4 linked regions of the Schizosaccharomyces pombe genome follow. The gene in region 1 interacts genetically with each later gene. Each region holds a gene or a part of one and is shown on either strand. Other genes may lie near its edges.

Evidence for each region.
Region 2: mutations in fbh1 (region 1) and srs2 impair growth when combined (synthetic growth defect), as found in Schizosaccharomyces pombe (4 studies listed by BioGRID, with this or other methods).
Region 3: of fbh1 (region 1) and rad57, a mutation in one rescues a mutant of the other (synthetic rescue), as found in Schizosaccharomyces pombe (4 studies listed by BioGRID, with this or other methods).
Region 4: of fbh1 (region 1) and rad51, a mutation in one rescues a mutant of the other (synthetic rescue), as found in Schizosaccharomyces pombe (6 studies listed by BioGRID, with this or other methods).

The regions. Positions count from the first base shown.
Region 1 is NC_003423.3:2,729,167-2,738,145, forward strand, and holds fbh1 (DNA helicase I, ubiquitin ligase F-box adaptor Fbh1), read left to right. Parts: upstream 1-4,043; 5' UTR 4,044-4,129; coding exon 4,130-5,939; exon of another isoform or gene 5,940-5,979; coding exon 5,980-6,806; 3' UTR 6,807-6,918; downstream 6,919-8,979. Other genes in the region: xpa1 (X-Pro dipeptidase), read left to right, coding at 92-1,447; SPOM_SPBC18A7.02C (seven transmembrane receptor-like protein), read right to left, coding at 1,570-2,795, 2,847-2,925, 2,979-3,047; SPOM_SPBC336.16 (uncharacterized protein), read right to left, coding at 3,535-3,750; cdh1 (SSU rRNA dimethylase), read left to right, coding at 7,797-7,931, 7,990-8,778. UniProt on the Schizosaccharomyces pombe protein: Involved in ATP-dependent DNA-unwinding in a 3' to 5' direction, and ATP-ase activities stimulated by the single-stranded DNA-binding protein ssb1.
Region 2 is NC_003424.3:3,828,757-3,838,271, forward strand, and holds srs2 (UvrD subfamily ATP-dependent DNA helicase), read left to right. Parts: upstream 1-3,522; 5' UTR 3,523-4,018; coding exon 4,019-4,380; intron 4,381-4,445; coding exon 4,446-4,710; intron 4,711-4,730; exon of another isoform or gene 4,731-4,755; coding exon 4,756-5,186; exon of another isoform or gene 5,187-5,231; coding exon 5,232-6,837; 3' UTR 6,838-6,870; coding exon of another isoform or gene 6,871-6,916; 3' UTR 6,917-6,962; downstream 6,963-9,515. Other genes in the region: SPOM_SPAC4H3.04C (uncharacterized protein), read right to left, coding at 2,314-2,927, 3,019-3,200, 3,260-3,393; SPOM_SPAC4H3.16 (uncharacterized protein), read right to left, coding at 6,871-6,916, 6,963-7,170, 7,211-7,280; SPOM_SPAC4H3.06 (uncharacterized protein), read left to right, coding at 8,693-8,763, 8,812-8,995, 9,055-9,134, 9,184-9,244. UniProt on the Schizosaccharomyces pombe protein: ATP-dependent DNA helicase involved in DNA repair at least for UV-induced lesions. Also aids the recombinational repair of camptothecin-induced collapsed replication forks.
Region 3 is NC_003424.3:2,119,174-2,126,668, reverse strand, and holds rad57 (DNA recombination mediator, RecA family ATPase Rad57/Rhp57), read right to left. Parts: upstream 3,640-7,495; 5' UTR 3,380-3,639; coding exon 3,313-3,379; exon of another isoform or gene 3,218-3,312; coding exon 2,220-3,217; 3' UTR 2,163-2,219; downstream 1-2,162. Other genes in the region: gih35 (ATP-dependent RNA helicase), read right to left, coding at 1-229, 278-342, 391-468, 512-602; whi2 (phosphatase activator), read right to left, coding at 865-1,677; gpl1 (Gpl1-Gih35-Wdr83 complex RNA-binding subunit), read left to right, coding at 4,461-6,065; mde1 (5'-methylthioribulose-1-phosphate dehydratase), read left to right, coding at 6,385-6,506, 6,550-6,573, 6,617-6,694, 6,754-6,831, 6,880-7,055, 7,099-7,307; ATP-dependent 3'-5'-directionality DNA helicase fml2, read right to left, coding at 7,449-7,495. UniProt on the Schizosaccharomyces pombe protein: Involved in recombination DNA repair and in the repair of gamma-ray-induced damage.
Region 4 is NC_003424.3:2,697,610-2,701,916, reverse strand, and holds rad51 (RecA family recombinase Rad51/Rhp51), read left to right. Parts: upstream 1-1,647; 5' UTR 1,648-1,812; coding exon 1,813-2,910; 3' UTR 2,911-3,807; downstream 3,808-4,307. Other genes in the region: rna15 (RNA-binding protein), read right to left, coding at 1-223, 264-288; rpp101 (ribosomal protein P1), read right to left, coding at 999-1,259, 1,396-1,464; SPOM_SPAC644.13C (Rab GTPase-binding protein), read left to right, coding at 3,822-4,307. UniProt on the Schizosaccharomyces pombe protein: Required both for recombination and for the repair of DNA damage caused by X-rays. Binds to single and double-stranded DNA, in the presence of magnesium, and exhibits DNA-dependent ATPase activity.

The sequences.
Region 1 (8,979 bases):
TTAACTCAATGCTGTAATCTGATAGTCAGTAATATCTGACATACTATATAGTTCAGCACCACCTCTCTTCAATCAGCAGAATTGCTCAAAAATGGTTTCTTTTGAATCAAGTTTTGAACGAGGTACCGATTTTTTGAATAGAAATTTTAAGAAATGTCTCTTCGCATGCATTTCCATCTTCATTTTTGCGCTTTTAGCATTATCATTCCTATCACTGTTACAACCAGATACAGTGCAAAGGCTTTACCAATGCGCTGTTCCCTCAATGATTTATGTTCCACCGATGATTAATGAAGCAATTTCAATACAACATGAAGAATTCAACAATCGTAGGCGGAGACTTTCGGCTGCACTTCGTGAAGATAAGTTGGATGCTCTAATTATGGAGCCTACAGTTTCAATGGATTATTTTGCAAATATCACTACTGGCTCCTGGGGTCTTTCTGAGCGACCTTTTTTGGGAATAATATTTTCAGACGATGAACCCTATCCAGGAGACGTGGCATCAAGAATATATTTTCTAGTACCTAAGTTTGAGCTACCACGTGCTAAAGAATTGGTTGGCAAAAACATTGATGCGAAATACATCACTTGGGATGAAGACGAAAACCCTTATCAAGTTTTATATGACCGGTTAGGACCTTTGAAGTTAATGATAGATGGTACTGTGCGAAATTTCATTGCACAAGGTTTACAGTATGCTGGATTTACCACATTTGGGGTGTCCCCCCGTGTTGCGAGTTTACGGGAAATAAAAAGTCCAGCTGAGGTAGATATTATGTCAAGGGTCAATATTGCAACTGTGGCAGCTATACGATCTGTCCAACCGTGTATTAAACCTGGTATTACGGAGAAAGAGTTGGCGGAAGTGATTAACATGCTTTTTGTTTACGGTGGATTGCCTGTGCAAGAGTCACCGATAGTTTTGTTCGGTGAAAGAGCAGCAATGCCACATGGAGGTCCATCGAATCGTCGATTGAAAAAAAGCGAATTTGTCTTGATGGATGTTGGTACTACTTTGTTTGGCTATCATAGCGATTGCACCCGAACTGTACTTCCCCATGGCCAAAAGATGACTGAGAGGATGGAGAAGCTTTGGAATTTGGTTTACGATGCCCAGACGGCCGGCATCCAGATGCTTTCCCATTTATCGAACACAAGTTGTGCAGAAGTTGACCTAGCAGCCAGAAAAGTAATTAAAGATGCTGGTTATGGCGAGTATTTTATACACAGATTGGGACACGGGTTAGGATTAGAAGAGCATGAACAAACTTACCTTAATCCTGCCAATAAAGGTACGCCTGTACAAAAGGGAAATGTGTTTACTGTTGAGCCTGGAATTTACATACCTGACGAAATTGGAATTCGTATTGAAGATGCTGTTTTAGCATCTGATGTTCCTATTCTATTAACAAACTTTAGGGCAAAAAGTCCCTACGAGCCTTAATATTTATGTGATTTTTTGTGATTGTAACCTGAATTGGATCAAATAATTTAATTCATACTATTAACATTAGTAGTAATTGAAATAAAATCAACTCATCAACGAAAGAAATTGAACATAAAAAACTATTTTGATTTATCCGCCCTGATATCTTCCTCTAATAAATCTAACTCTTCTTCCAAACGAGGATCTAAAACCGGATAACTAAGGCCTGTAGGATCTAAATCGGGGTTTTCCTGAGATGGTCGCCATAAAGAAGATAATGTAATTAAGTAAGTCAAATGCACACCATCAATCCATCCATCTAAGAAATACCAGCGTATTTTCCAGAGTTTGTTTGTTGAGTTATTATTAGTGTTTGAGCAAAATATCAATGCAACTAGAGAAAATGAGAAAATGGTAACAACACCACACAATACCATTATTCGGAAAATTTTATAGATGCTATGCAACGTATAGTACCGTTGTTCAACCAACGCGCGAAGAGTTGAAGGTAACGCAACAAAGGCACCAAACAAGATATATAGCGCTGAAATACAAGCGGTGAGGAAGAAAAAGCAAAACCAAAGGCCGAGGTGAATAGATTGAATGGTAATTGCAAAGAAGCGAACTACAAAAAGAGCGAAGAAACAAATTATTAAAGGAATTTTTGCTTCAGTAAATAGTCGATCACGCATGTTAGTTGAATAACGGGTATATCCCCAAGAGAGTATTAATAATAACGCAAGGTCCAAGACTAACTGACACGCAAACAAAATTGACACCAGAGTCTCTCCTAACCATGTGAAGTTCCCCCGATTTCTCAAATTTTCTGTATCCAACACAATAGAAGTGACAGCCTGTTGAGCACACGAAAAGATTAGCAAGAACATAATTGCCTTTTGAACGGTAACAATCGAATGTTTATATTGAAATCGGAAAAACATCCAAAGTGCAAGAATTACACTATAAGCGATTGTGATTCCACCAGATATAGGCATTCTAGGGAATTGAGAAGCGGGAAGCCCACCATACGCATTTTGCCAATTGACAAGAGCTTGATAAGGTAACATTTTTTTCGAATGAGACCAAATGCAATAATAACCTGACTGAGAGATTTCATATATAATGTTTTGAGGGTCAGCATTTGTCGGAATTATATAAGAACGAATGGATTTTGCTGACGTTGAGTTCCACAAATATAGTCCCAGTTGATCGGCTTCACATAGGTGATCCGTGTATACCGCATCGTAATCGCAAATGTAAGTGAATTGATCATCAGAACGGAATGCACCTAACTTGCGGATTTCTTTCCAATTGAATATCAAAACCTCAACTTCATCTTCTTGACCCCATGGTTCAGTCCAATTCACTAACGTCGTAAGTTTTTTAAATAAAAGCGTAAAAAAAGATATGTACATACCATAAATTGCTGGATTTAAAGACCCTCCAGATTCCGATTTCGAGTAAATGCCATTGCACAATTCATAATGCTTGAAATTCTAGCAAGAAGCCGCAGTTAGCAAATGATACGCAAGAAATCTGATTGTTTTACCAGTAATGTTTTTTCTGAATAAACTATGGAAAAGAATATACTCCATAGAAGAGATATCAGTAATTTCATGGTTTATGATGAGAGCATTAGATTTTTTATACTTCGAAGGACTGGGAACAAAAATTAAATACCAATGTTATGTAAATCAATGTACAAAATATTTTTTCCCAAAACCGATTCACGGATTATCTGCCAAAGTTGAGATTCAGAAGTTGGTGGAGGTTATTGACTACTTAATAAATAGTAATTTATTTATAGTTAGGCGATTAGCAAGGTTCAAAAAATAGCTGAGAAAGGTGTTGATTCGAGCCTGGACATCAACATTTTAATTAATTTTTTCTTTCTATAAACAATTTTGCTTGACTTGCTGAATTTCGCTAAGGATCAACATCATTGACTACTGGTGAATTCTTTCTTTGTTATCGGCCCAGAAATTACCAACCGTAAAATGTATTTTCCGCAATTAAAGAAAATTGTGAGGATTTATCCTTCTATTCGGTTTCATTTAATAAATTGAGAGCATTGATGAATAAATAGACTAGGTGTAGAAAAAAATTTAGTTGACGAAGCCGAATTTAATACCGCATGTTGTCTGGTCTAAACTTCTATTTTTGGTGAAACCGGTTTCCATTAAAATATCAACAAAAGTGATATTGCTAAACGTGGCATTTATAGTGTCTAAAGAAAGTATAATAAAAACCAACCAAGAGGTCGTTGATGAGAAATAATTATATAAATAATTAGTTAAATCATGAGAATAAGAATGATACATCAATTAATAAAAAATTACAATTTACAAAATAAAGTAGAGGATTTTTTCAACACAAAAAGTAATAGAGTCTTTTTGAGTTAATTATTTATTCAATGAAACTTACTTTTACATAAGAAATTATGGGAATTCTTTCAATTTGCAGATGGTTAAAGTATTTCTGTAACGACAGCATGCTTCGGAGAGAAATAATTATATAGGTTAAGGAATGTATTTTATTTTAAAAGATTGGATTTATTTTAATGTTCGTTGCTCATTCATAAACTAGTTCTGGTATTTTTACTACTCTTAAATTTGCACATACCCAACCAACAAGCAATTCTTCTAATGCAATTTGTTCTTTCTTTTCAGTCAAGCACCCAGTCAGCAAATTCTTAGTTATATGAGTGCTCAACATTTACATAGCTGCAAATTTTATAGACTGCCACTTGAAATTATCCCATTGATCTGCAGGTTTCTTTCTGTTCAGGATATCCAAAGTTTCATACGTGTATTCCCATCCTTTCAAACTATTTTAGACTCTTCTAATGACCTTTTTTGGAAAAAGAAAAATTATGAGTTACGAATTCGTCGAAATCGATTGCTTCGTGGTTCTTATGCTGCTGGTGTTTCGAGCTCAGCGATGAATGGATTTGTCAATGGCACCCAAATTTCATCCACACCAGCTGAGAGAGAATACTATAGTAAATCAGATGAAATAAAAAATATTTGTGGGCTTCCCCCGGGTCCTATGAAAGTGGAACAAATTGGACATGCTATTGACCATCTTGTCAGTGAGACTCATACAGTTGATCATCTTGGAAGTTCTATTAAAGCATCTTTTTTTCACATAGATGATGTTCCTTTAGAATGGATAAGCTCAATATGCATGCAGGTTCAAAGCTTTTTCTCCCCTGCAGCTCGAGAAGCTATATCTTCTCTAAAAAGTAGGACTACTACTAGCAATCTGCTTTTAAGTTTGTTCGTAGGGATACTATTTGAAGATGATTTGTGGTATTTTTTCAATACGCTTTATATGCTATCTTCAACGTCCGCTATAGAATTTGCTTATTTTCTGGACTCTATCTTTACTGTAGTCCGCACAGATTATGAACATTATCGTGACCCACTTTCACAAACACTAATTACTTCGTGTACTAGGATTCACAACATTGTAGCTGTCATTGAATCCCCTTATGATGAACCTAACACTAAGGGCCTTACCTCTGAACAAAAAATGATTGTTGAATGTCAATTAAACCCAGGAGAGGTTCTAAAAGTTAAAGCATTCGCTGGTACTGGCAAAACCAAAGCATTATTGGAATTTGCCAAGTCTCGTCCAAAAGATAAAATTTTATATGTTGCTTTTAACAAGGCCGCAAAAGAAGACGCAGAATTACGATTTCCATTTAATGTCAAATGCTCCACCATGCATGGTCTTGCTTATGGTGCTATACTTGCACAGGCCGATTTGCCGCAAGCTAAACTTGAGCGGCAATTATCAAATTCTACTATAGCTTCACTTTTGTCTTTGCAAGTTGCATTTCCAAAGGCAAATCGGAAAAATAATCCGGGTACACCATCCGCTAGCTTGGTAGCTTCTCATATCATGTTTACATTAAATAGGTTCATGCACTCCACTGACTGGCAGCTTGGTTTTCGTCATATAAGTAAAAGAAGCCTGGAAGTTACAAAACTCTCTAAAGAGAAGCTTTTGGCTTATACAAAAAAATTGTGGTCTCTTATTGTAAACTTTGAATATACCCATGCTCCTCTCATACCTGATGCATATATGAAATTATTACATTTGTATGAATTCCCTAATATTTTTTCAAAATATGACTACATTCTTTTTGACGAGGCTCAAGATTTTACTCCGTGTATGGTCGACCTTATTTATCGTCAGAAACACGCCCGAATTGTCATCGTTGGGGATGCACACCAATGCATTTATGGTTTTCGTGGTGCAAATGCATGTGCTTTCAATGAAAATTTGTACCCTTCCACAAAGCAACTGTGCCTTACTAAGAGTTTCCGGTTTGGAAACTCTGTTGCAAAATATGCAAATTTTTTGCTTTCATTAAAGGGAGAGAACGTTAAGCTTAAAGGGGTACAAAATGACCATGCGTATTGGTCTTCAGCAAGTAATCCCAACAATGTTAGTGGAGCGTTTCGATTTTTTCCTCATACGATTATTTTTCGCACTAATAAAGGTTTGCAATGGTTTATATTGATAAAAGCTAACGTATACAGAATTAATCCTACAATCGATTCGGCTATCAGTGTCATTACCTAAGGAGATACCCATTGCTATTCTTGGCTCAATGAGGAAAAAAGCATTCCAACTTTTGCGAAGTGGTTCAGAACTAGCGCATGGGCAGCGCCCTTCGCACCCAAAGTTAAAAGACTTTTCCTCTTGGGGAGAATTTGAAGTGCACGTAAAAAACTCAGCCGAAGAAGATGCCGAATTGGCTTTAGTATATGATATGGCCGACGAATTATTTAGTGAAAGCTTTCTGAGCCGATTGGACAATTGTGAAAAAAGATTGATGGACTCTAAAGACGATGGTGACAACGGTATTATTTTGGCAACAGCACATCAATCTAAGGGTCTTGAATGGGATAATGTTCAATTGGGTAATGATTTTCGACCAAAATTTGATAGTGTTTCTTTTTCACGAATTGGATCTTCGAGGTACTTGCAAGAGGAAATCAATATCCTTTATGTTGCTCTTACGCGAGCTAAAAAACGCCTTATCCTTAATGACACTATAACCAAATTATACGCATTAGAGTGCGGACTTGTTCGTTTTGCTGGTGGCATTTTAACGGAAGATCAGCTGCAACCTGGAAAAGTTGCTCTTTTTGTCGACTGGCAGATTGACAAGTTTAGCTTTTTTTATGAAACCCCTGCTGAAGGATACAATCTTTTGGTCGAAGCAAATGAGAAATCAGTATGGGATATATTTTTTGGAGTTCTTTCAGGCGCTTGGCAGAACTATATTGCGAATACATCTGAACGGCTTAAAAGATCGATGCTATTTATTGAAAATCAATTGTTTGCTGTACATGATCAGTAGAAACTATTTGATTTGTTTCTTTTAAAATCTATTTTAGCCATATTGATTGATGTACTATTGCTATTACAACCTTTAATATATAATCATTTAATAATATGTATATTCGTGTGGACATTTTCATTATAGAGCTATGTTACTATTTCGCTTATAAACGTAAACTCATATCAATCTGTCGCTGCACTTTCCATGTTAGAGTTAAAAGTAGTTGTAGTATTACACACAGAAAGCCATGGAAATAACCCTTCGTGTAAATAAACAGAAGATCAAGTTATATTTGTGCTTTAAAAGATTCCTATTAAGTGAGTCGATGACCCAATTAAGTGTTTATACCTAAAACATACATAAAGATGATTTCAAAAACTAGCAAGCAAGAAATTACTTCCCATCATCTGAATTCCCACGCAACGCTAAATAAACAAAAAACAAACTTTTGATACTCTCGTTAAGTGGCTTTGCTAACAATATAACGCAGTTATAAACAGTTTGTATTAGAATTAAGGTACCGAAGGTCGTTTGCCTTTATTAGCGTGTCAGCATACTACACTACGTTGCGTGTCACTATATGTCATATGTTGGAATACTAGTTAAGATCCGTTTGTTGATAATCACGGGTGACTACCCGTCTATATGAATAGATTCCTTTTGTTGACAAGTGTCTATAAATATTATAAATAGAGCTCCAACTGAACTGAGGAACGAGGTTCAATTATAAGCTATATTTGTGATAGGTAACATTGAAACCTAGATAATACAATACCTATACTCAGATTGCCTGCGTATTGCAATATGATAGGTCACAAGAAAAACTTACGGCACTTCTACATATCGTTGAAAACGATACCAAACTGTGTAGTTAACATTTAAAAATTAACTTACTTCGCTAACTTGATTACGACTGAGAAGAATTTGCTTCACTAAACGGCAGCAGTTTGCAAACCTGCGAAACTAGTTTTTGCCCTGTACCAAATCCTTTTGGTTACGAGAACAGCCATGGGAAAGATTCGGGTTAGGAATAACAATGCAGCTTCTGATGCAGAAGTGAGGAATACAGTTTTCAAATTCAACAAAGATTTTGGCCAGCATATCCTTAAAAACCCACTGGTTGCTCAGGGAATTGTGGATAAGGTAGGTAAAATTGCGATAATTTTTCAACGAGGTTTATTTTCTAACATAAGACAAATAGGCTGATTTGAAGCAATCCGATACTGTTTTGGAAGTAGGACCAGGTACTGGTAACTTGACAGTAAGGATGCTTGAGAAGGCGCGTAAAGTAATTGCTGTTGAAATGGACCCCCGAATGGCTGCAGAAATCACCAAGCGTGTGCAAGGGACACCAAAGGAAAAGAAATTGCAGGTGGTACTTGGTGATGTGATTAAGACCGACCTTCCTTACTTTGATGTATGCGTGTCTAATACGCCTTATCAAATTTCCTCACCATTGGTATTTAAATTATTACAGCAGAGACCGGCTCCTCGTGCGGCAATTCTTATGTTCCAGAGAGAATTTGCTTTACGCTTGGTTGCAAGGCCTGGTGACCCTTTGTACTGTCGATTATCCGCCAATGTGCAAATGTGGGCTCACGTCAAGCATATCATGAAAGTTGGAAAGAATAACTTTCGACCACCACCTTTGGTTGAATCAAGTGTTGTTCGGATAGAACCAAAAAATCCACCCCCTCCATTGGCTTTTGAGGAATGGGATGGTCTGTTACGGATTGTGTTTTTAAGGAAAAATAAAACCATTGGTGCTTGCTTTAAAACCTCTTCAATTATCGAAATGGTCGAAAATAACTATCGCACGTGGTGTTCGCAAAACGAACGCATGGTTGAGGAAGACTTTGATGTAAAATCTTTGATTGACGGAGTTTTACAACAATGCAATCTTCAAGATGCCCGAGCTTCTAAGTGTGGACAAACAGAGTTTTTGTCTCTGTTGCACGCCTTCCATCAGGTTGGCGTTCATTTTGCTTAATGGGGTCAGGATGGGGTTTTCCATTGAAACGTTAAATATTGGATCATTTATGGGTTTTTGGGATAATAACTTTATGGAATGTTAGGTAAAAACAGAAAATATAAAAAAATTAAAATAGAAATAGGGACGTTTGTAACAGCAGTAAGAGTTTATATATAATCAGTTGGTTGAAATGATGGTAACATTAAGAATACAATCAAT
Region 2 (9,515 bases), on another chromosome or scaffold:
GGTGTAAATTTCGAGTAGGATATGGAATGAAATGAGCTAAAAGAGTAATTCTTTAAAAAGAAAGAACAGTTGGGACTATTCCTGTGTTGACAGGATTGTATTTATTATAGTTTTAATGAAATGTTCTTCCGTAAGATAAATACTTCTTATGGAGACGAAACGAACAGTTGTGCTTCCCGGTAAATGAAGAAACCCCTCTTTTTGTTTAAAAACCCGATAAAAGTTTTCAATCCTAATAAAAGAAAACCGTATCAGTGATGATGCTTTCCGTTAACAATTCGAACACGTATAGAAATAAAATCAAAGCGGCGGAACGAATGAATCAATTGTTTTCAGCTCTCAAAAGTTTAATGAAACAAGAATTGGCTTTCAGCTTTTCAATCTGAAACAAAAAATCGCAAAGCAATTGCCGTTGTAAATTGATTTAGTCAACTGGCGGAACAAGAACCGTTAATTAAAATAGAGTTAATCAGTTCCTTAAAAGGAATAGTTTTCCAATTTTACAAATTTCTTATACTAACGAACGTTTAGAGATCAAGGTAATTGAAATGTTGTTTATTGTATGTTATTGAATCGCTTTGGGGTGTATTTTAAGGAGCACCGCACGATTTGGAAATACGTGCATATGACATAATTATATAAGAGCAATACTGTACAGTGTACTTCGCTTTCGCTAATTAGGTAGTGAAGTATATGGGATGATAAATGTGGAGTAAATTAAAAACCCTTCGACTGCGATAAAGTAATTAAGGAAAACTAACGTTTACGCAGTGATTTTTTGAAAAGTATCCTTTTTAACATTGTCTTTTGATGTTTCTCCTACTGTTCATTTCGTTTCACTATTTAGTAAATATCTGTAATGAGAATAAACAGTCAAGGATTTTCTTTCATAAGACGTTCGTTGATTCATAACTGAAGAATGAAGGGAGGGTACTTAGAAACTAATGAACTGCCGTCAAACATATTTAATTATAAAATCGCCAATTGCATTGTAGTAGTTTAGTGCAACAATACCATACACAAAGCTCTCACGAGAGTTTACATTATATTACGACTACCATTACCAACTAAATCTGTCTCATTTTCATAATAACAAGTAAATCCAACTATTATAACATTGGCTAAAATATTGCTTAATGTTTTTTAAAGATAGTCAAGTAACAGGAAGTAGATAAACACGTTTACTAAAAGATTGGTATAAAGTTGAATGCTGTAAAGGCTTTCGGAGTAAATACCATCAATTTCACTAACACTAGCAGGTAGAATCCCTCTGTTAACTCGTAAAAATCGTGCATACTAATTCAAATATTTAGCTGTAAATATCCTTCATGGACATGTAATGATATTAGGAGCTAATGAATTTGCTAATGCTTGTTGTCCGACGTATATAGCTAACTCATACGCTCTATCAGATGGGTTCCGTATATAAAATTCTTAACCAAAGATATGGTTAGTTTTAAGTATTAATAACTAGGTTGAAATTTTTCTAACTTAATTGATGAATATTAATTCTTTGTATACTATCTTGAGAATCAGTAATCTCAGGGCTGAGAAAATACTCTGCCGGTAGACACTATACGGTACTTCTTAAACGTTTAAATAAAAGTAATTTATACAACAAATGTCTACGGCCATACCTAGGCGAAAACACCAGTTCCCGTCCGATCACTGCAGTTAAGCGTCTGAGGGCCTCGTTAGTACTATGGTTGGAGACAACATGGGAATCCGGGGTGCTGTAGGCTTCCTTTTATTCATTTTTTTTTTGTTTGTTTTTGTGTTAATTTATTGTTAAACATGAAATTTTTGTATTGAAATTTTGTCTTGAACTCGTTGAGGCTGTATAATTTTCAAGCAAAGCTGGAAAGCATACTAGTTTAGAAGGTTATGCACATGCATGAATTGACTTTGATAATATAATAATGTTTTCGTTACTAATCGTGTAAAAGAAATTTGTTCAGAATATCAAAAACAGTAGTTTTATACATAGTAGAAAGATTTAAAAATTGATTAATTCTCAAGAGAGACCAATTGATACATACAGAAAACAAAAAAATTATATAAATGGAAAAGGGTATGTTTCGTAAATGTTGCAATTGAGAAATAAAGCGCATTTCATTTATCGTAATTTGCCTAGATCAGAAAAAGCATTGCAAAATTAGCCTCCTGAGTATGAATCTGATGATAATAACTAACAAACACAGGTTGCATAATACATGTTCCGATAATTTTCGGCTCTCAAATACTTAAATATATGATCGTTTCGCATCAGCCGTTTCAAGTCATGAAAAAAATAATAATAAAATATCAACAATACTATGCGGTTGCGGTTGCATAGCTAACGCTGCTATCGGTGACCAATTCAACATGGCTACTTTGAGCGTACGAAATAAACTTGAATCTTTCAGAGAAATTGGCGCATTCCATAGATTTCATAATGAGTTCTATAGGGTAACGGCCGCATATGGTGTTTTGAGTGGTTTTCAAATACTCTGAAAAGTCATCACTACTTTTCGTTTCAATAATTTTCATACCAATATGATCCAAATTAGATATAGACTCATAAATTTTGGGACTAGTGGGGCCACCTCGTCTTTTGTATTTTAAGACTGCATCCTCTAATTGATTCGTATCGTTCAAATAAAGGGTATATCCAAATCTTCTTCCCCAATGACAAAAATCGGAAGATATAACAAATGAATTTGATTCATCTTTAATATACTGACTCAGAAATTTCGCTGCTGCCATCATTGTGGTTGAAGTTAAGGCACCTATCATGATAGGAACAATTTTGACTTTTCCCAAGCATCCTTGTTTCAGCAAATGAAAAGCTAAAAGAGGGAATTGCATTTCGAGGCTATGTTCACTTTCATCCACATCCAAGGTCATTGAGTCGAAGCTGTTATCGCTAGCGACGAGTTTCTGACATACTATATAAATTTCCAGTTAGCAAATAATCTGTGCTGAGAAATAGACAGTAGCAATTTAGTAAAACTACTAAGCAAAACTGTTTTCACATACAGTCTTCATCCACTTTCAAATCACCTAAAGGTGTTGAGCAGATGCTAGCTCGACTGACTAGGCATTTTCTAGTAAAGATGTGATGAGAAGGCCCAAAAACAAAAACTCTCTGAATTTTCGAAAAGTCCAATTGCTGAAATCCTTGGGATGCGACTTTCCCACTATACATGTAACCAGCATGTCTGCTCAATATTTAGCTATATACTGAATATCACATAAATTATAAGTTGTCTATACGTACGGTGAAATGACAAACCGTTTCCCAGTCTCGGGCGTTGGGTTTTTGATAAATGATTTTAATTGCTTAGTTAGTAATTCTGTATCATCCAAATACCAAGATCCTGCATGAGTTGCTTCACGAATGGCTTGTGACATGAGATAAATTGAAGAATAATATTGATACGTTCAAATTGTAATTCGGTTTGTGATGTTCGTTTGACAATGGGTATTATTTTCTGAACAACACACTGTTACATATATCTTGCTTTCTTGCCTTCATCATTTGCGTTTTGCTGCACTAACACCACTTTTGGGAGGTCGAAACACAAGACTAAGACAATCGCAAAATCAGGTTTTCACACAATAAAATCATTACTTAAGAATACTGAATTGAAAGGCTTTCATTTGTTATACGTTCACGATTTACTCAAATTTCTTGTAGTAAAAACAGGTGGATTAAAATCTTTTTCGTATCCGTGTATCAGCCCTTTCGCGCTGGTAGGTCAATCGAGAATACTAAGAAATTGCAAGTGTTGTTTTCAACTAAATAAGGGTTGATCTTCTAAATTATTTCACCTATGCTATGCTTTCGTTAAAATAATAAGTATTTGTTAATTTTCTTAGTTTGACGTGTCATCGTTTCACAATTTAATATTTATTACCCGACAACTCATCGGAAAAGACCGTGTTTGGCCAAAAATCTTTGCATTGTTTTCCTATTTCTCACTTTTTTAAAATATACATTTGAAGCTGTCGGTTGAGTGTTTTGTTCTTCTCAATTATGGAAACGAAATCATCATACTTGAAGTTTCTGAATGAAGAACAAAGGATTAGTGTTCAGAGTCCTCATAAGTATACTCAAATTTTAGCCGGTCCTGGGTCTGGAAAAACCCGTGTTCTTACCGCTCGAGTAGCCTATTTACTTCAAAAGAACCATATTGCAGCCGAAGATTTAATTATAGCCACCTTTACGAACAAAGCCGCAAATGAAATAAAGCTCAGAATTGAAGCTATTTTGGGGAATAGTGAAGCCTCTAAGCTTATTTCTGGGACGTTTCATTCTATAGCGTACAAGTATTTGGTTAAATATGGCAAGCATATAGGGCTATCCTCAAATTGGTTGATTGCTGACAGAAATGATACGTATGTCTTGTTTACACTTTTCTAACTTTTACTTCTCCACTTTCAACCATTGCTGATCTATTTAGTCAAGCTATTATGAAGCGACTTTTAGACTCTCTCAAGAAAGCTAAAAATCCGATTGCTTCTGGTATTAGAGGACAAGAATTGACTCCTCAGAATGCTCTAAATCGCATAACTAAATTAAAGTCCAACGGTCTTCTTGTTAAACCTGGAATGGATCAGTTGAGTTTGATTAATGGTCTGGAAGAACCACCTAAAGAGCTTCAAAGCCATCAATCTGTTGAATTGTATAGACTTTATCAAACTTCCTTATGGAAGAACAATTTAGCGGTACGTAACAAGCATAAAGTTGTATGTATATATCTAACTATTTAGGATTTTGATGATTTGCTTTTAAACTTTATTTTATTACTTCAAAAGCAACCAGATTGTGTGAGGAATATAAAACATATTTTAATCGATGAATTTCAAGATACTAGCAAAATCCAATATTTTCTTGTTAAGCTTTTGGCATTGCAAAATTCAGATATCACGATTGTTGGCGATCCCGATCAATCAATCTATGGATTTCGAAGTGCTGAAATTAGGAACTTAAACCAAATGTCTGAAGACTTTGAAGGTACCCAAGTGCTTCATTTGGAAAGAAATTACCGTTCAGCTAAACCTATACTTGAATTAGCACTGTCTATCATTTCACAGGACAAAAGCAGGCCTAAGAAGGGGCTCAAAAGTAATCACATCTCTTCCTTAAAGCCTCATTACCGATTGTTTGAAACTAACAATAAAGAATCTTACTGGATCGCAAGGTTCGTATGGCTTCATTGCATGAAAGTTTACTAACGATTCTTTAGAGAAATTAAACGTATAGTAGGTTCTTGTCCAGAGCTTATATTTTATAACGATATCGCAATCCTTGTAAGGTCCTCCAGCCTTACAAGAAGTTTAGAACATGCACTTTCCGAACTTGGTGTGCCCTACCGCATGGTTGGAGTTAACAAGTTTTTTGATAGAGAAGAGATTCGAGACTTAATAGCTTACTTGAGAGTCCTAGCTAACAAAGATTCGACTTCTTTAATTCGTGTCATCAATGTCCCTCCTAGAAATATTGGCAAAACAAAAATCGACCGTATTATTTTCGAAAGTGAAAGAAGAGGATTGACCTTTTGGCAAACTTTAAATGAAGTAAAGAATGAAAATATTTTACTTTCTCAAAGAAATGACAAGAGTTTTCTAAAGTCTTTAAAGTCTTTTCTTTGTTCAATCTCCAAACTTGAAAATCGTTACTTGTCTAATGGGCACTCAGCAACTCTTAGTGATTTACTTTTGGGAATACTTTCTGAGATTAAATATTACGAATACCTGGTTCGGAAAAATAAAGAAACTGTCGAAGAAAAATGGGAAAATGTAATGGAGCTTGTACAACAAAGCGATAACATATCTTGTATATTCTATGAATTAGATTACAAAATATCAACAATTGTTCTATTGCAGAATTTTTTGACTCAAATCGCTCTTGTGAATGAAGAACAGAAAGAGGGCGAATCTCAGAAGGTTACCATTTCAACCCTTCACGCAGCTAAGGGTTTAGAGTGGCCTGTTGTATTTTTACCTTGTCTTTGTGAAAATATTATCCCTCATTCTCGTTCAGACGACCTCGACGAGGAAAGAAGGCTGCTATATGTCGGTGCCACACGTGCACAGGCGCTACTGTATCTATCTTCCTTTAAAAGCGTCACTGGAATGTTTGCAGATATGCAGAACTCAGACAATGTACAGGACGTCAGTCCATTTTTAAAAGGAGAAGAAATGAAAAGATGGGTGATGGAAAGTGAAATAGTTTTTAATGAAAAGATTGCTTCTGAAATTGGAACCATATTGGGTCGGAAATCTTATGGGAAAATAACTAATTTAAGCGGTATTGGTTCAAATGCAAATCATAACGGAACTAAATTCGAAAACTTGGGCTTCCAATGCTGTCGTGTTCTAGCTGAGGCAGAATTGAAAAAGAGAGAACGAGTCAAAAGTGTCAATGACTATAATAAAGATGAAACAAATTTTAGAAAACATAATGCCAAGAGATCGAAAACCGATATACGAAGTTGGTTTGAGAAAAAACAACCAATCGATTCAGATGTAGAGATTTCTGAGCCGTCAAGGTCCGCAAGCATAATGGTTGCAAATAAAGATTTAAATGATCGAAGTTTTGAAACTGTCAATCGTATTGTATCGACAAGAGCCTCAACGACAAACGCTTCTTTCATGAGCAGCGTCAGACAAAATCTTGGTAGAGGTCCTTCTACGAAAGATCAGGTAATAAATAGAACGTTGAGGGAAGGTCACCAAGATGTTGTGCAACATACTGACCTTAATCAATCAAATACTAAGGTCGCGAGTGCCCGTCCTGCTGGTTCGAGAAAACGATTGGGTGTAAGGCTACGAGTTTCACGAATGTTATAGTCATATCATGTTGTACAAAATCACGTATTATATTTATAGACAATCTAAACACCTTGCTACGGTGTTTTCTTTAAAATACCTACATATAATGTCAGCTTGAAAATAGATACAGATAATAAACTTACATTAGAGTACTACAGTTTCGACAAATATTTCGTTGGCAGCGATCACATGTAGAAAGATATAATACGTTATCACAAAATTCGCAAACACCGGTAGATGAAGGCAGATGGTCATTGTCAGTAACAAAATTAACCTTTTCATTTAAAACGATAGAAGAGGCATCATGGGCATTACTTTTTTTGCTTGCAAACAAACTAAGAAAAGATCTCACTTAGAAGCTTAGTAAAAAATCGCTAAATTCTTCACTTACTATCCAAATGATTTTTACACTTCTTTCTTGGTAACCTACTAGGAACATGTTCAGAACGACATCTTTTCATAGCTAAATCTCGGATACTTCGAGTTTCAAAAAAATGTGACACGTTGTTCTACCCTCTTAAAGCCTTATCGAGGTGTTGTTTTGTTTTTGTGGAACGCGGACTAGATGGCTAGTGCATGGTCTAATGGACTGTACAGGAATGGTCAAATAGGCGATACTTCTTGTCAAAATATAGCACTAAATGCATTTTTGAACCCTGTATATATTCGAAAAAAATACAAATCGTCCTTATTAATACATTTCGTAAGTCAAAATGAAATTGCTGAAATGAATGTGTTAAGGTAAAGCAAATATAGCTAGATTAAGGCTCATTTAAACTTAAATTGAGTAATATTTTCTTAATGTTTTTACATTTATCAGTAAGTGCTCCTTCGAAATGCCTTGTCCAGCTCATTGAAATTCATGGGTCATACCTTCAAAGGCTGAAGTATGAAATCAGGAAGGATTCACTGAAATAAAGAAGTCTTTCTGATGTCTGATTTGAGTATACGATAAACAAATGTGAATGTGCAGATATGAACAGTATAAACCATAGAAAGCCATGTCAAAGCCGAGGAGATACAGATGTTCTACATAGATTTGCAGACAATCCTCCTAGATATTCTATGAGAAAGGAGAGGAAACCTTGGTTTTGCAGCTTCTATATGGAAAGTACAGAGGGGTTGTCTTGCTTAACCAAAGTAAGAAAGAGGCAATCAGAGAAGATAGCCTACAGAAAATTATAATTCTCAATCAATTTATTTAAGGTAAAAACCTCTTATACTTCTGATTCTTTTAGTGCTGCTATTTAATCTGTAATTATACATTATGTCTCCATGTTTGACCAGACTGAACAATTCACAATTTAGTAGGATCTCAAATGTTATTCGGGAAATAGTTGATGGTATTGAACTATAGGATATTAATAAAGTTGTCACGTGTAGACGTATATTAACTTGTCAAAGATTGTTTGAACATTGTGAATAGCAAAATGGATTAGTTATTACAGTAGGCTTTTCAGTAGGTACACACGACGTAGACATATGTTTTAATAGATATTTTCCATCAAAAAGAATTAGGTCTATTAACACGCTCTTTTCTAATAGACCTCTTAAATGTCATTCACTTGAAGTTTGTACTTGTAAATCAAAACATTGGAAACCTGATAAATTGGACAGTTAATTAATTAATTATTCAATCCTTTTCATTATAGAAAACGTTTTTTCTGAATCTTTTTTGCTATAGTATACGCTGTGTTAGAATATGATTCAATTACTTAATAACGACTATATTTTGTAACAATAACTATAAATAATAAGAGTCATATTACTATAAGTATGTTATGTCGAAGGAAAATTACAAACAGTTTTACTTGATTGCAAAGGTGGACTATATATCTGAGACAATTAACTCTTAATGTATCATTTACCAGATATGGAGGAAACTGTAAATAAAATATTGCGAGCTCAAGAAACGAGAGCTCAGTTATACAAAGAACTGGAGGAGTAAGTATTTTCAAAGATATATAAATAAAATAGGTCTAACAAAGGTAGTGCTCTCAATGCAAATCAAGAGAAAAAAATTGGACTTGAGCAAATGGGCATAATTGTTCAACTGGTGACTGAAGGTTTAAATGAAGTTTCTTCTGATATTCGAAACTATCAAGCATCTCTTACTAAGGAGCTTAAACTATTGGTGGATTCTTTACAGGAAAAAGAGCGCTCTAAGCTACAAGCGGTAAATTTTTTTTCATAAATCTTTCTATGCAAGTTACTTACAATGTATAATATTTGCAGACCGTCAAACTTGAGCAGTTAAAAGTTGTTTCTACTAATTCACCAGTTGAGAATACGCAAATTTCAGAATTGGAAGCTAGGTAAATTGAAAATTGAATTATCCAGATATAACTAACAAATAATTATTAGACTTTCTTCACTTTCTAAAGAAATCAACGATATCTTACAAAATATGAAGGATGAAATATGAAGAAAATTGGTTTAATTACTATGGCATATCCAAGTTTTCTCTTTAGCAAGAGTAACATTATGAAGTATGATTCTGAATTTTCTTAAATTTAGAGAAAGTAAAAATTCTACATTAGAAATTTAGGGGACAGTCAGTTCAAAGGTCTCCTTTCTAATCATACTTGTAATTGAGATTGTAACATTCAGTGCAAAAGAAAAAAATGTTATTCGCGTTTTGAGCAAACCGGCAAGGTATGAATAGTATTCTTCAAGCCTTTAAATGTCAAAAACCC
Region 3 (7,495 bases), on another chromosome or scaffold:
TCGACAAAGTTCGTTCATGGACTTCGTCGAGAATGACTATTGAATATCTTTCCAGCAAAGGATCAAAAAATATTTCATTCAAAAGGATTCCATCGGTCATATATTTTATTTTTGTTTTTTCAGAAACGTTATGATCAAATTGAATGCTATATCCACACAAACTTCCAGGAGGAGAGTTCAGTTCCAAAGATACTCGTTCAGAGACGCTCTTTGCTACGAGTCTTCTGGGCTTTCAAATAAGTTAGGAGGATGATAAATAAACAAAGTTGTGACTAACCTGTGTACATCCTATAATACCGTTTTGGGACGCCCATCCAGCTTCGTATAAAAATTGAGGGATTTCTTCAAGATTATTTTTAGTTTAATAAACCATCTAATCAAAATACTTACGAGTTGTTTTACCACATCCTGTGTGGCCTAACACTATAGTAATCTGATTTTGCTCTACTGCATATAACAACTGGTTTCCTAAATGTAACGTCAGCAATGTAAGGGTAAAACAGCTACATACTGTATTTGGTGATTGGTAATAGCTTTTTCTGAATATTTAAGGGTGTATTTGTAAGAGTACTAAGCGATTGGGAAATAAACTCATTAGGCATACTCTTGCGTAGAGAGCATCAAGTAAGTGGAAGCACTTTCATGTTACCACAACTAGATTGAACGTATTGTAATATTTATAAAAAACAGTATTAACAAAATTCAAATAAAAAATTATTATTCAAAATAAATATACTACAATAATTATCACGCAATTTGAGTAAAATCTGGGAAACCTCGTAACATTGGTATCTGTTAAAAGAATGGCTGCATGCACGGCCTAACTTAGCAAAATGTTTTTTAATCTTATTTTTACTAAAACACTTAGTCTTGAGAATTTTCACGATTTCCCATAATCGTAACTTCCAACAACCACTGCTTTCTCCTCCAAACATTGATTAAAGATCCGTTTACTTTTATAACTTCGTTTATCCACCAGCACTTATTACCTGGCTGTCCCCATAGCTTCAAAATTTTACTCAAAAATTCTTCGCTTAATGAGGAGCTCTCGACTGTTGTTATGATATACGACATTAAGCTCATTAATTTTGGCTCCTTTACTCTCTTGGCCCATTTATCGTTGTAGCGAAATCCACAATGCTGTAATGCATCAACTAGCGGTCCATCACTCAGCCCTTTTCGGATTTTTTTTTTGTCTGCACTTTCAAAAACGTCGTTGTTCTTGAAAGTTTGCTCTAATAAGTCGCTCCTGATTTTTTGGTCGACGGGCTTTTTATTTTCAGAAAATAAATAGATATTGCAACATTCTGTTAAGAATAAAACGAGGGTAGTATTCGATATAGGATTAAATGCAATTTTTGAGGGATAAGCATTATTACTTTTTTTAAATAATGGTAGATAGGTGTCCAAAATCCATTTACAAATGGAAGGGTCGATTTTGTGGCATTTGAAACATGATGAGACATCACCTCCCTCATGTTTTAAAAGCAGATGAAACCCATTAGGAAATAGAAGTGCCAACACGGTAGTTGGTAATATTGGAAGTTCAACGCGATCAATGACTATTAGTTTGCCCCGGATGTTGAAATGTATTTTTTCTGGAAAAAACTTTAAATTACTTTCCAGTGTATTGGCTAAAGTGTCAACCGTATTGATTCGATCAATTGGAACTGACATTTTTGTGTTCTATTTTTGTAACGATTATGTTATAAAAGAATGTTCATTTTTTATTTACAAGATATCACCAATGCATACTTGGCTTTTGGTAAAAATGTTAGGTGCAAATTTCTAAAGGATCGCCAATAGCGGAAGCTATCGGAAAGGTCTTACAAAATCTTTTACGCGCAATAGTAAAAACAGGTAGAAAAAGCCATTCGTCGGTTAAGAGAGCTCTTTGGGCATTCTTTGTTACGTGTAAAACTTTTTATTGTATTTTTTTCCATTTCAATACCCAACTGGTATATCCAAAATTCAGTCCACTAAAGTATGTCGGATTCTAATAAAAATGCACTACCATCATAGATCAACAAAATATATATTTAATAGTGACAGAGGTAATATAAATATAAAGATAAATAAGTACACTTATATATGTAACAGTTACTCAAAGCATTACTTTTCTTTCTGCGAATGATTGATAAGCGACAGTCGATTAAACAAAGTTAGGGCAATTCATAAACCGGTTTTATTATATTATATATAAAATTTTTACAAAAATGCTAGCACGAATATATCCCAACCGATCCTATGCATATTCGTACGTCAAGCCTTGGAGAATTTGGTGAATAAACAACCCGAAAGATTCTCCCCGAATTATTGGTGGCAGAGTCGGTTTTCTTAATTAATGCTAATCTCGTACTGATGTTATTAGTCCAAACGAGACCAAGAGATGGTATTTTGGGATTTGGATCTGTGTCATCCCATCCCGAAAACCATTGCGATTGATAATCTAAACTAAACAACCCAATAGCATCATAATCTCTAGGAATTCTATCGCTAACTTGGTTAGCTATGACAACAGCAGCTTCATGTTGATGAGCTAAAGTGCGTAGAGTCATAGCTAACTTTCCCAATTGATTTCCACGTTTGGCAATATTATCTAAATCTCTAAAATGACTTTTGGATCGGTTGTAACGGAGCTCAGCTCTGTAGTTGGAGGCGACACTATCCAATATAACCAACCCAATTTTATCCCGATTGAATAAAATCGGCAGTTGATACTGAATGATATGTTCTTGAGATTCCAGATCTGGGCATAATATAGTATACACCCTATCTCCTGGATTTTTTATAATTATGTCTTTCTTATCAGCTTTGGGATACCTTTCTGGTAAATAACGCGCCAGTTCAAATAATCGTTTTGTTTCAAGACCGGACTCTGTAGAAATGAAGACAGCTGCTTTGTTCATTCCTCCTAAACTGAGAGGTAGTTGAACCATTAAACAAAGCTGCATACAAAACTGTGACTTCCCTGAACCGCTTTCACCACATATTTCAGTTAACTGTCCTACTGGTATACCTCCATGTAGAGTTTCATCCAACTTTACATCGCCAGTTGTCAAATATTTCGAAGTGACTTTGGAAGCAGAACATCTTACTGGTTGAAGAAGGAGGGATATCTGCTCAATTAACTGTAATAACTCACTTTGACTACAATGTGTGCGTCTTTCTAGCTCAGTAATATCCAGCGTTAACAAATCAACCGTGCTTACTTCTCCTAAAGCTGTCAGTAATTCCGTCTTTTAAGATCCCGGTACAAAAACCCAATATTTTTTTTTTATGTGCAAGCTTATTGAACTACTAAACGCTTACCTAATTCAAATGCTGAAGCAATTTTCTCATCAAAGTAGAAATTGTCAACATAATTCGAAATATCCATCCATATAGTAGAAAGAAAGAAGATTTTTAATTGTAAATATGATATGTATAGTTTTTACTCATAAAGATAAATGAAAATTATATCCACACCATAGAATATTCGAAAGTTGATAGTTTTATATAATGAACAGCTTTGTATCCTACGATTGAATTAAATTCTCACGATTATTTAGAAGTAATAGCACGAACTTCTAACCCACTTTTTCGCAGAAAGAAACGGTAATTTATGTACCACTATAGAAGTGGTGAGTCGAAGATGTTGTACGCGAATTACAACTGACCTGCCAATACCTCTATGTTTAGTAATTATAATCCTTATGAGAAGAAGCCCCGCAATCGACGAATATTTATATGAACATTGGTTTTTATAGAACATTAGCATAGTAACCGCTTACACTTATTTTTTTAACATCTTCAAACCATACATCTATGAAAAACCCCACGTAATGATACACATACTTGCCTAACCACCATTCCTTAATTGATAATTAAGTTATCAAGATATGTGAAATTATATAAGCAGCATATCCAAATGTGTATTGCTCATTAATTGTTAGGCATTAAAATTCGTAGTATGGTTGAGCAAACGAAGTATAAGAAATGATGTTTTACCAATCAACCGACGATAATTCGCTCAGTTTACCAGCTACCAACAAATTTCTTAGTTTATGAATGCTTGGTTCAACATGAAGTAATACTAAATAGAACTTTGTTGAGATTTCTCAATAACAGACAAAATATACATGATACATTTTTCATCTCATGAAACTTCAACTGTACAAAGAATTAGGTAATAGATAAATAACGTACCCTAACGCTCGCAGATTGCACTACGGAGGCAGCTGAAATTCGAAGCAAGGGCAACTGTTTAAAAATTGAGTATTGTAATTGCTTTTGTCAACAAATCAGAATTCTTTGATAAGTTATCTGGCTTTATTAAAAATTAAAAGTTGCTCAACATAGTATTCTTGTCGCCTCAAAAATAATGGGCTTATAGTATCCTAAAATATGCCTTAAATTTTGAATTTTGAATTTTTTTTTTTTCAGTTTAACTACGGATCACGATTACTTCTTGTTTTAAAATGTATGCCAATTCAAGAAAAAGAAGCAATGTCGATGTTCATCGGCACCCTTATGTAGTTTATGGCTCCCCTTTTGATCTTGAGCCGTCCAGAATTAATCAAGGAGTTCCTGTTTGGAAACAAGAAGCCAGGGATGAGCGTAATAGAAAGAGATTTCATGGTGCATTTACTGGTGGATTTTCTGCTGGCTATTTTAATACGGTTGGTTCAAAAGAGGGTTGGCAACCTAAATCTTGGAAAAGTTCAAGGAATGAAAACAAAAGTGTGCATGGAATGACTATTGACGATATTATGGACGAGGAAGATCGTGCTGACCAAGAGCTTAGTAAAGTTTATACTTCGAAAATAAATACGATTGATACATCTATACCAATTGATGATCCTCTACTTAGAGAATTCTCAAATAGGGACGATAGCATTGGCGAAAAAATGTTAAAAAATCTTGGATGGAACGGTCATGATTTTGTTATATCTCCATTTCAAGGGTATTATGATGACACTAAGTTAACCAACCAAGCTTATCACGGTATCGGGTATCAAGCGGACGATGTTTTTCAGCTGGAAAGAAAACCAGTTGGAATGGCAAAAAATCTGCGCGGTGGATTTGGATCAGGTGTTTTAAATGATGATGGGATAGAAGATCAAGATATATACGACCTCGGTGCTCCAAAAATGCGGTATGATAAATCTATCAACATTACAAAAAAAGTCGCTTCTCCATTTACACCCGTTAAGCATACCTTTCTGTCAAAAAAAGACAGAAGCAAAGGGAAAAGCATAATCAAATCGCAAAATTGCTCAGATGGTCTACCTCCCCTTCCAGGATTTGTAGTGGTATTTAATTTACAATCACCTTTTCAAAATAATTGGTTTCCTCCTCCTACAATACCTGAGGGTTGGGAGCCAAAACTTTTTACAAATTCTCAAGGATTTTCACAAAAAAAAGCCCAAACTTCAAATGAGCGCTTACCACTTTTTGCTGAGAAAAGTGAAACAAATTCCAACGGTGAAGCAAGTTTACCTAGTGATGTTAATCATGGTGTCAAGGAAGATGAGGGATCTTGGCAACTAATTGACATTGAGACAGCTAAAAATGCAATGTCTAGGAAAGATAATCCCTATAACGATGAGCGTGCCGGAATTTACGAGATTTTCCTTAAGGCGCACCTAATGAATATGCCACGATTACTCAGAGATATTGATTCTCGTCATTTACTAGAATTTACTCAAACAGCTTCACTATACCGACCTATGTCAAAAAATCTATCGATGCGTTTCGTAAGTTCTTTTGAAGCCTCGACTAAAAAAGAGTCGATTAATTCACATAGTGAAACTGATGATTCAATTTTGAGAAGACCTCGTACAGTTGTTACATTCATTCCCGAACGTCTTCTTTGTAAACGCTTTAATGTCGCCTTACCGTACGGTCAAGAAAAACAAAAGCGTAAAAATATTTCTTCTATTGAAAATGTACCTATTATTGCTGAAATTGAAAACAAAAGTATCGATTCAATTGATACAAGGAAGTTGAATCGACCCCAGGATATAGAAGAAAAACCAAAAGCTCCCCAAACTCTTTTCAGTGCAATATTTGGGGATGACTGAATAAAAAAATTATTAATTGATTTCTATTGTACTTTATTTTCATTAGGTTAATAGACTGTAATAAACTTTTTGTTTTAAGCAAAAACTTAGTACTTCCTATTTATTCAAGTGCCATGACACAATGTTTAATAATTTCATAAAAAAAAATAATAATTATCAAGATAGCTATTATACACATCAATTCTTTACTTCACTTTGTTTGCTTAATGTCGCGTAGATTAAACTCACAGTTACTTTTGCTACTTAAAAATTTTTAAACGTTAATGAAACGTGACCCTTTTCAAAATTTTTCATCAAGATAATTATCATCATAGTAATAATGGATGATTTTCTAAAGAAAGACTTAGGATGTCTTCGTTCTGGCGATTTGAAAAAATGTGGTGAATTAATTTGCGAAATCTGTCGAGATCTGTATACGTCGGGCTGGGTTACAGGAACTGGGTAATTACTAATTTGAATTTAATATAACTAATAAAAGAATCAGAGGAGGAATTACCATTCGCTCTGGGTACAAAGCATTATTAAAGCGTCAAATATTAACTTTCATGTAGAGATGCCATTGTAATCGCTCCCTCGGGTGTACAAAAGGAAAGGATGGAGTTACACCATCTTTTTGTCATGTCTTTAATGTATGATATTATTATTGTCATTGTTTTTATCATTTTGAGTAGATGCTAACCTCTTGCAGTACTCGAGAATATATGCGAATGCCAGCTCTTCGATTGAAACCTTCTCAGTGTACACCTTTGTTTTTAGCAGTATACACGTAAGTCAGCAAAGTTGTTGAACATTGAATTCTTTACTAAAGCAGTAGCTTGCGTGACGCATATGCATGTATCCATACCCATTCTCAGGAAGCCATTTTATTGTCTACTCTATTTGCGGATTCTGATCATTTTTCGGCAACAGGTTTTGAAGTACTATCGTATATTCCAAAAGGATCTAAAAATAATGGGTTTCATAAGCCAACAGATAAGATAAAAATTCCATGTATGAGTTTACAAACTTTTATAAAAGGCTGCTAACCGAATAGTTATCAATAATACTGCTCATGAGTCTGATCTTCATGATAGTTTGCAAGAAGCGATCAATTTGTACCCAGATACTTGTGCTGTAATTGTTAGAGATCACGGTATTTACTGCTGGGGCGATACGTGGCAAGATACCAAAATGAATACTGAAGCGGTAGAATTTTTATTCCAAGCTTATTTACGGAGAAGAAGGCTTCAAAAACCAGAATAGAAATTTTGTGACAGCTTGAAAGACATTGCGTTCTAAGGTAAAAGTTACTATATAACAAATAAATAAGCTTAAACTCACATAAGTTCCTACTAAAGTTTCGGATTATGATATTTTTTTCTTTAAGGTATTTAATCAGTAATTTCATGTACTTTGAAATAATGCATTCGACGTTTTCTTCATCCGCTTCC
Region 4 (4,307 bases), on another chromosome or scaffold:
GCGGTTGGGAAATCTACACGCAATCTACGTGTTCCAGCATCGTAGTTGTTAAGGTTTCGAACTGCAGACGCTGCAGTAGCAGGATCGTGATATTCACAAAACCCATATCCCTTTGGTTGCCCTGATTCAGGGTCAATGACCAACTGAAAGGATTTCACAGGTCCACTTTGCTTAAAGATGTCAATGACCTGTTCCTCAGCCATTTCATAAGGAATATTGCCCACTACTTATTAGAATTACTTTTAAACAAAAATTTAACTTACCATAAACCACACATGATGGATTCATGTTGTATGTGGTAGAGGATAGCTGAAGCCCTCGCGTCTTCCTTGGGACGGTGTTAGTAAAAATGGGCAAATGATGTGTCGAATATTTTTCGGAATCAATCCCAAAAGTAATATCAACTTTAAAGAGATAGCTAAATAATTTTATACTTCAGCCAGAATTAATAAAAGCATCGCATACACAGTGCCTAATAACTAAGAACTCATTCATTCAGCAAGAAATTTGTGAACAATAAATGATAATATCTCCTTTCATACTTACATTTTGCAAACGCTAACTTGTAAAAACCTGCTTAATGTATAAAGATCAGCCAAAAACCTTACACTTCATTTTCCAACTACGGTCCTAATTACAAAGGGCCACAAACTCCTACACTCCGAGGCCGAGATGTATTAAAATTTCAAAATAGCGCTATAATGCTTATTATTAAATATTAGTACTAAAACACTCCTACCGATTAACTTGAAAAATTTAATATCAAAATATGCAGTTCGTACTGTGAATCAATTTACACCTGATAATATTACTTCACATATGTCTGAAAATCACCAACATTGGCCATACAAATAGTTGGCGCAGATCAAAGGCGGTTTCATAAAGATTACTCGGTCTAAATTTTTAATTTCAAAACACAAGAAGATATTAAGTGAGATATAGAAAAATGGTTATTTTTTGAGTTGGATCAACTAGTTCATGCTAGCAGATTAGGGAAATTAGTCAAACAAACCGAATCCCATATCTTCATCAGATTCCTCCTCTTCCTTGGCTTCCTCCTTCTCTTCAGCAGGAGCTTCGCCATCAGCGGCAGCGGGAGCAGCAGCACCGCCAGCAACAGGAGCAGCACCAGCACCAGAGCCAATGTTTAATAAAAGTTCCTTAAGGTCCTTGCCCTCAAGAGCCTTAGCGAAAATGGTAGCCCAAATGGGTTCAACATCGACGTTGGCAGCCTTGGTTAAAGACAAGAGCTTGTCAGACTACGCAACAATTAGTATAAATTAATTTAACAAAAACCGAATAAGAAGGAATAAGACGACTACACGCTATGGAAAAGATCTTTTACCAGTATCGGTAGAAGTACATTCACAACTTTTCTAGTAAAATATAACGTACGGTGATTTCAATACCCTCGTCAGCCAAAATGAGAGCTGAATAACTGGTAGCAAGTTCAGATGCAGACATTTTGACCAGTGCTGTTCTCTTGTTGTAAATGCAAGTGTTAAAAAACTGTGTTTTGTTTCGTTCCCTATCTCGTGACTATTTTTACAGCCCTACCCTAATGTGTGTGTCTATTTAGTAGGTGTTACCTTGCTAGTACTAGGTAACAATTGATTGAAAACGCGTCGGACGCGTTTTAATTCCTTCACAATCCCTACTAAGCAAGAAAATTCTTGCCATAAACCAATTCTTTCTCTAACAAAACTATTTCCTTGATTTATTTTTTAAAAACCTAATCTTTCTTTTCTTTAATAATATAAAAAACTCTTTTCAATTCCAGAATAGTGATAATTTCGTGCTTAACAAGTTATAATGGCAGATACAGAGGTGGAAATGCAAGTTAGTGCAGCAGATATGAATAATAATGAAAATGGACAAGCACAATCAAATTATGAATACGACGTGAATGTACAAGATGAAGAAGATGAGGCCGCCGCCGGTCCTATGCCCTTACAAATGTTGGAAGGCAATGGGATTACTGCTAGCGACATAAAAAAAATTCATGAAGCCGGATACTACACGGTGGAATCAATTGCTTATACTCCTAAGCGACAACTACTTTTGATTAAAGGAATTTCTGAAGCAAAGGCTGATAAGTTACTTGGCGAGGCAAGCAAACTAGTTCCTATGGGATTTACCACCGCCACTGAGTACCATATTCGAAGAAGTGAATTAATTACGATTACAACTGGATCAAAACAACTAGACACTTTGTTACAAGGAGGCGTTGAGACTGGAAGCATTACAGAATTATTTGGTGAATTCCGTACCGGTAAAAGTCAAATCTGCCATACACTTGCGGTAACCTGTCAGCTTCCTATCGATATGGGTGGTGGTGAAGGTAAATGCTTATATATCGATACAGAAGGAACTTTCCGTCCTGTTCGTTTGTTGGCTGTTGCAGATCGATATGGCTTAAATGGTGAGGAAGTTTTGGATAACGTTGCATATGCTCGTGCTTACAATGCAGACCATCAACTAGAGTTGCTCCAACAAGCGGCAAACATGATGTCTGAATCCCGATTTTCATTGTTAGTTGTCGATAGTTGTACTGCCTTGTATAGAACAGATTTCTCTGGTCGTGGAGAGCTCTCTGCTCGTCAAATGCATTTAGCAAGGTTTATGCGGACGCTACAGCGCTTGGCAGATGAATTCGGTATTGCTGTTGTCATTACTAATCAGGTGGTCGCCCAAGTGGATGGCATTTCCTTTAATCCTGATCCCAAAAAACCAATTGGTGGTAATATTCTTGCCCATTCGAGTACCACTCGACTTTCTTTGCGGAAAGGTCGTGGTGAGCAACGCATTTGTAAAATTTACGATAGTCCGTGTTTGCCTGAGAGCGAAGCCATATTTGCCATTAATTCTGATGGTGTTGGTGATCCCAAGGAAATTATCGCACCTGTCTAAATTATTTTAGTATCGTTTCATTTTTATTTATTATTTTGCAAATTCTATGGGATGAGTTTGTAAGGATAGATATGTATGTGATGCTTTTTTGATAATTTCCTTACGATTTACTCTGTATCTCATATTTTTCTTTCAAGTATGCTCTTAAAAAAGAGCAAAAACCATTTGATCACACTTATTAACTCTCTGCTAAATCTTCATTACGTTTATTCGCATTAAACTATCAGGTTTTTGTAATTGCCATTAATTATGTTTGGGTGATTGGGTTACATTGGTGAACAAAATGTTTCACTTAAATTAATATTCGCTAAAAGTTTTTCATAGAAGTTTTCGTTCTTTTTTACATTTAAAGACCTATATGATTATATTTATCTCTACTACCCAAAAATGCTTGTCTTGTTACAAATTCAAATAAAAAATTAAATATAAAAAGTTTGCTATGGTATTAAAGTAAGAAGAATTTCTTTCTTTTTCTTTCTTTTTTATACTAAAGAAGCCTAAGGATCCACTTGCATTAAAACGCACGCAAAATGCTAAATTCTTGAAATTTTTACTATTATTTTGAATATTTGCATTGACTAAAGTAGGACTTCATGTTCAAGCTTCATTGAACTTCTGGGATTTCGGTTGCTTTACTTAATACAATATTCTTTTTCTTCTTTATGTATTTATTAGCACACTTTTATCAAAAATCAATTCTTAAGAGGATATATTGTAAGTTTTAGGAACATAATTAAATTTTTATTAGATTCACTGAAATGATAGTTAATTGTATCTTTAGGATTCATGGTGGTGGTATCTTACTGTTTTGAGGACCAGCATAGTAGTGTGCTACTACAAAATTAACAGAGAAATGTACCAGCGAAGTACCAAACCAAAACCATACTCAATTACCATCTTATATTTTAGAAATGACAGACATAGGAAAACATAACACAGAAATAGAACAGGATGAAATGGAAAATCTTCTTCGCATGGATCCTGTTCGATCCAGCCTCGATGTGGAGTCTCGAGCGATAGAGCCGGACAACATTGCTGGAGAGTCAATTGTTGAAACAAGATTCACTGGAGGAGATTCTCTGGACGAACCCATTCGTGTTACATTATTTAATGAATTTAGAGCTATTGGTGAAAAACTCGTCTATGTTTTGTATCCCAAAAATGCTCAAGTACTACGCGACTGGGACTTGTGGGGTCCTTTGATTTTTTCCCTCGTAATTGCTTTAGCACTTGCCTTGTCTACTGACAAGATTGAACGAGAATCTGTTTTTACAGTCGTTGTCGCGCTCATATGGTTTGGGGAAGCGGTTTGTTCTTTAAATATAAAATTACTAGGGGCCAACATTAGCATTTTTCAATCTATGTGTATATTGGGGTACTCCTCTTTCCCTTTAATG